Linked DNA regions of Coturnix japonica. The protein of the gene in region 2 purifies or fractionates together with the protein of the main gene of each other region. This does not show direct contact. Links are inferred from orthologs where the notes say so. Each region holds a gene or a part of one and is shown on either strand. Other genes may lie near its edges.

The links. The genes of interacting proteins can lie anywhere in the genome.
Region 1: the proteins of SRSF3 (region 2) and NCBP3 purify together in Homo sapiens (co-immunoprecipitation; 3 studies listed by BioGRID and IntAct, with this or other methods). This does not show direct contact. The link is inferred for Coturnix japonica from reciprocal best matches to the Homo sapiens genes SRSF3 and NCBP3.

What each region holds. Positions count from the first base shown.
Region 1 is NC_029534.1:3,956,237-3,959,042, forward strand, and holds the end of NCBP3 (nuclear cap-binding protein subunit 3), read right to left. Parts: coding exon 2,674-2,806; 3' UTR 564-2,673; downstream 1-563. UniProt on the Homo sapiens protein: Associates with NCBP1/CBP80 to form an alternative cap-binding complex (CBC) which plays a key role in mRNA export. NCBP3 serves as adapter protein linking the capped RNAs (m7GpppG-capped RNA) to NCBP1/CBP80.
Region 2 is NC_029541.1:1,938,796-1,942,316, reverse strand, and holds the end of SRSF3 (serine/arginine-rich splicing factor 3), read right to left. Parts: intron 2,307-3,521; coding exon 2,268-2,306; intron 1,682-2,267; coding exon 1,595-1,681; intron 1,379-1,594; coding exon 1,351-1,378; 3' UTR 565-1,350; downstream 1-564. UniProt on the Homo sapiens protein: Splicing factor, which binds the consensus motif 5'-C[ACU][AU]C[ACU][AC]C-3' within pre-mRNA and promotes specific exons inclusion during alternative splicing.

The DNA of each region.
Region 1 (2,806 bases), on a different chromosome or scaffold from region 2:
GAGCCCATAATAGGCCTCATAAGGCAGCACTAAGAACCTCCCCCAGCCCAAGGCCTCCCATCCCAGCACCACTCACCTCAGGTCGGACCGCGGGGCCGTTCCAGGCGGGGCTTGGTGCTGCTATTCGCCTCCATTAGGGCCTATTCTCCTTTATCCCCCTCAACTGCCGCCTAGATCGCTCGGGCCTACAGCCCTGTGTGGACAAGGAGGCGCAGCCCTCACCGCGAACAACCACACCGCGGCCTGGCGCACGAGGAGAAAGGGCGGGAAGAACCGAGACCTCTGCTTATAAAGGCCAGGGATGTACCACCCTACGGCGGGGGGTGGGCCGCACCGCTGATCTCGCGAGAGAGGGGGTGGGCCGCACTACTGTTCTCGCGAGAGGTGGGCAGGCTGTACCACTTTCGAGGCGGGGGGTGGGGGGGAGCGAGGCGTCCATTTCTCACAGCGCGGAGGGAGGGAGGGAGCGCTGAAATGGGGCCTACAACTGATTAGTGGGGATGGAGCCTTTGTGGATCGCAAAAATAAGGGATATTAATGAAAGAACACACTCAAATGGGACATTACGGTGATCAGACACTGCAGTGCTTTACTCTCAACAGCACTTGGATGAGCCATATTTATATATTTAATAATTAAATATAAACAGTGGGGTGTCACAAAACAAGATGTGAAAACCAGACAGTCCCTGGTTTCCATTTCTCATTGCTGTACCTTCCACTTCCCCTTTAATTAAAGCAGTAAGAAGAACTGCAGACTCCTTTGATGCAACTTCAAACCTATTCCAACTTAGAAAACCAACCAAATAACCAAAAACACAAAACAAAGAGAGGAAGAGGGGGGAAAATAAATGCTAAAAGGCAAATAGGAGAGAGATACAGACATTCAGGACTGATAGAACATGGGAAGTAGGGATACAATCATAAGATGGAAGGGATATTGAGGTCACCTGGCAGCCCCTGCATGAACAGGGCCATGCGGTGTGTCCAGGCAGCTGCTGACAGCTCCAAGGATGTCAAAGCTCCACAAGTTCCCTGAGCAGCCAGTGCTCCATCAGCCACGCAGTAAAGAAGTGCTTCTTCAAGTTCAGACAGAACCTTCTGTGTTCCACTTTGTGCCTTCTGCCTCTTATCCCATCTTATCACCAATGAAGATAGCTCAGCTCTCTTTGCGTTCTCCCTTCAGGTGTTTATATACACATAACCCCAGCCAGGGTTATGAAGGATGAACTTAGGATGTTATCCAGGATGAACAGACTTAAAGACAAAGCGAACATCTTCAGAGGGTCAAAAACATAACAGACAATGGTGGGGTGTCTTTTTTGCCACCAGCAGAACACAATGTGCTATCACAGAATGACCCGGGTTGGAAGGGACCTCAAGGATCATGTAGTTCCAACCCCCTGCCTGGCAGGGCCACCAAACATACACCTTTACTAGATCAGGTTGCCCAGGGCCCCGTCCAACCTGGCCTTGAACACCTCCAAGGACGGGGCATCCACAACCTCCCTGGGCAGCCTGCTCCTGTGCTATCATTAGAACTCATTCAGTATGACTGGCAATCAATATATGTGCCACAGGCAATGAGAGGGAAAAAAACTGCAGCTGCACTCTGATCAAACCTTTATGTAGAGAGGATACGCGGGTAAAGAAATAAAAAGCTGAATGTAACAAGTCAACCAGGTGCACATCCACATGTAATATACAAGAACACTCCAAAATACTGACATGGGACAGCAATCTGATAGTTTTCCTTTTCTCTTTCAGTGATATATATGGGTAGTTTAAACAGCACACAGGAAAACATCACTAGAGCTTTTTTTCTCACCATGGCCAACGGGAAATTTCCACAAGTATAAAAATGGAAGTTTTTCAACTGTTAAGATTTCTTCAAAACGTAATAATACAATTGGATGAGAGAATTTCTCAATATGTAACTAGGAAAAAAAAAAGATAAGAAAAACCTTCAGGAATTTGCACAATTCTCTCAACCAACTTTGCAGTCTGAAACACTGCAATTTTTGCTTACAGCAGAACTCAGTACCACCAAAACAAACAGATGAAGTCCTGGAGAGCAGTGATGCTATATGGATACCGCATGAAACCTCACTATACTACAGCGTTGGATTTACATTCATTATTTTGGAGGAAGGAAACGTGACAGTCCCTTTATGCTTTCTCCTTGCTGGCTGCTTACCCAAGGAAGCATTATTGTTATTACTTGAAGAGGAAAGGTGCTGGTAAGTGCCAGAAGGGCAAGGCAATGGTGCTGACTGTGAAATGCCCTGTTCTTTGGATGAACTGTGTAAAACATTTTGTTAAAAGATTCCATGTTAAAAATATTAAGAACAAAAAGGTCTTCTTAAAAATACAGAGTGTTTCTCCCTCTTCTTTTAAATTCAGAGTTTAGGGAAAAGCGTTTGGCTAGAATTAACTACAGGTTTGCTGTAATTAACATATAAGACAATGCCCTACATAACACAGGGCCAACCACAGACTCCAGACAAACATGATTGCTTTAGGTTTCAAGTGGCATATGCATCTCTATTTGTGTATAAAAGGAACTGAGACATTTCTGGAACCTTCACTGCAGTCTTTGCCAGTGTTCAGCTTTTGGGCAAAGGAAATCTTTGCCTCACTGCAGAGTCACGATCTTGAGGATCAAAGTGTAAAATCAGGATTCAGTATCTGATCCAGAACTGCTTTCTCGGCTGATTTCAATTTGTAGAGAAGGTAAATTATCCAGTCGACTCTTTTTTTGCCGAGACTCCTCTTTTTCCTTAATGAGAGCACCCCAAACCCGCTGG
Region 2 (3,521 bases):
GCCAGACACCTAACACAGGTATCTATCCCCACAAGAGATGGGCTGACAATGTTCTGTGACCAAACCTGACCTGAACAAGCATCTGTTTAGTGTTTGCAGTGTGAACAGCACCAGCCTGACCTCTGCTGGGGCAGGGTGAGCACAGCACACAGCTGCACCCAGAGCCGGCTGCCTCCTGCTGACAGCTCCTCCCTGCCCTGAAGGGAACCAACCCACATCCCCTCTAAGGGCTGCACATCAGGCTTAACCACCCACCATGAGATGCAGCACTAGTTTCCCACCAGCAGCACACAGCCCTGTGTGGCAGGATCATTACACAACATTAAATTCCTTATAAAGACATACACACATTTAATTCTTAAGCTCCTTGCCCTCCACATGTAGACATACCTACATAACCAACACCTTTCCTGCTGCTTTGTGGGCACAATGCTGCTCCTTCAGCAAAACTCCCAGAGAAAACTAAACAGACACCAAGGTCTCCCTGCTGCCACTGACAGCTATGCCATTGTTTGACATTTCAGGTGAGGTCTTCACACATTCACTTGAGTTAAACACCGAACAACAAGTTGTAACCAAAACTTTAATCCCAAGGATCTCACAAAAGACATTTTACAAGTGACATGAAAATTCTTGTACAGTAAAGAAATGTTTAATTCACAGCTTTTACAATGTACCATTACACGGTCAACACATCCACTCCAGTCGTCAGTTCTGCTGTGTATTTGGTCTATTCAGAGGTCCTGGAATAGATGGTCAAGCTATCGGCTATTTAAGAAGCACTCTAGTCACACGAAGTACAAGATTAACTGAGCCTACAAGCTAAAACATTGTATATCATAATACAAAGTAGCTCTGTTCCAGTAATGGAAGTCAGAACCAGAGCCGTGGTAATAGCAGCTCGCAGTTCCCTTTGTGACTGCTGGTAAGCAAACACCTGCACCTTGTCCTGTACTAACACCACTCACAGCCACCGCTCTGCAACAAACTCCTTTGCTGCACACTCCCCTCCACAAGCTGAACCCCAGCAAATCACACCCTGCAGAATGTCGAGACCTGAAACATCACCTACGCAAAGACAAACTGGTAACCATTGAACACTATTAAGTATAAGGGTACATTGTAAAAAGTGATTCATATTACAATTCATATGATCTGCTTAGAACCATATACAGATTCACATCTTTACATTTGCCACCTGTTACAAGATACAAGGAAAGCAAGTTCAACAGCTAAAACATTTTAAAAATGCACCAAGCTTTATGAAATTCCAAAACAAAACAATGTTCTGTACATACTCCCCTGGACTCAGATCTAAGGACTTCCTGTACACAGCTCCCTCTCAAAGTCTTACTTCCTCTCGTTTGACCTGGAGCGACTGGAAGAGAAAGAACCAACCACACATCAGCTGGTGTTAAAGGCAGCACATTCAAACCTCCCACCCCAACCCAGCACGTGGCAGATGAGCATTTCACAATAATGCTCCAATTAATAAAATAGGTCTTAATTCCAGGGTGAATGCCCTCATAAAAGGCTGAAGGTTGCTCTCCCCCACAGTGTGTCTCAGTATTACTAAGGATGCTGAGTTACCCACCTGCGAGACCTGGAGAAGGAACGAGAAGGCTTATGGTTCCTCTCCCGTGAGAGTGATCTCTCTCTTCTTCTGTCTCTGGAGAGGGACCTGTTAGAGACAGCAGCACAAGGATTATAACAACGGAACGAAGCTGAACTCGTTAAGATTACATGGCTGCCTCAAGAGATTGCCTTCAGGACATCAAGTTTTCCCTTCCTGAAACCCTTTCCAAGACTATGACAATAACCAGCTTGTGCCATCTAATACAAACCAAGCTGATGTAAACAGGCTGTGCTTTCTCAGCACCTCAGCTAACTCAGTGCATCAATACATACTTGAGCATCTTTTAATACACCTTATCCAATGCAACTGCAAAATAACCACGTATAAACCCACTGTGCATTCACTGCTTCACACACACTGCAGCATGAGGGCTGGACACACTCACTGCACACTGCTTCTCATCACAGCATCTGAAAGAACTGGAAGGGACTGTGGACAGCTGTGTGATATGAAGTATATTAAGAGTGGAAATAAGTTTCCAGCTGATAACTGTGCAATCTCCTGTAGGTAAGGTCAAGCAAATCCACTTCTCCAGCGTGCTGAGTTACATTGCTCACCCAGGAATGTATGCAGACACAGCCCCATTTGCTCACCTCCTTTCACATCTCAGACAGTAACAATGTGTACGTACCTGCTGCGGCTACGAGAAAAGCTTCTCCTTCGCGGTGATCTAAAACCAGAAAGACAATGTGAGGCTTTTTATCAACCCTGCCAGCATTAACGGGGTGAGGCATTTCCCAACTTGTCAAACTCACTGTTGGGCCCTGGGAACGTGCCAAGAATAACTGGCATCCATCATCCAGTCAAAGGCATGGAAAGATTAGGCAATAAACCAAGCTCGGTGTGAACAGCACATTTCCAATCACCGTTTCAGTTATAACTAAGAATGCTTCATAGCAGAGTTGTCCAATGCAACACTTCCATTTCAACTAAATACACTGCCCAAAACACCACACCAAAGTCCCACAAAGTGGTTCCAAAAAATAGCACAGACCAAATGTTTTGGAACCCATGCAAGCCAAAAAGGTCCATGACAAGACATAAAAGAGATACCAAGTGGGAAAAAAAAGTGAAAATGCGCTCAGTGTAAATATCGACAACGCCATTAAGTGCTACATTAGAACTGCATATCTGTGATTGTCATTCTTAATGCCATAGTGTGTTTAGACTACTTTAAAGAAGTCAATAACCTTAGCTCGGCCCAGTTCATCCCAAAAAGTAATTGTTTTAAGTTCTGAAAACTGTTAGTAAAACCGTTTAAAGGTGATAGGATTTGCTTTGGTTTTCTTTATTGCAATAAAAAAAAAAGCTAAGTTGGTTAGAGCTTTATTAAAATTTAGTTTGCCATCTCACATGCAAATAGACTCGTTTGTACGTTATTTCAACAGTCAGACTTTCCATATCACCCTTAAAAGTTTCCTCAAGCAACATAGGTACGTTACCATTCAATTATGCACAGCCAGCCTTTGATTGAGAAAAGTAATTACTTATAAGCCGCTTACTCCTTATTTTAACCAGCAGTAAACTGTATAAGCAGGAAAAACTTACTAGTTTTTGGTTTCAACAAGCTAGAAATGGTGAGGTGAGGCTGCCGGACTGACTGCCAAGAAGAATTTGCTGAAAAGGTTTTGCCAGATGTTGCGTTGTATTTAGTTGGTTGGCGAAGGGGGTGTTGTGGATTTTTCCTGCTTTTTTGTTAGCCGAAGGCTGCTGCTGTAGTTGTTGTGAAGACATTTGGTAAATAAACAGCTGAGCTGATTGGCCGGGAATGTGTGGGCGGTCGAGGTGGCTGCTGCCGATTTGGTTAAGGTTGGAGAGAAGGCTGAGAGAAAACAGCATGCTCGGGAACCAAAGGGCGGTGCAACCTGACGACTGGCCATGCCTG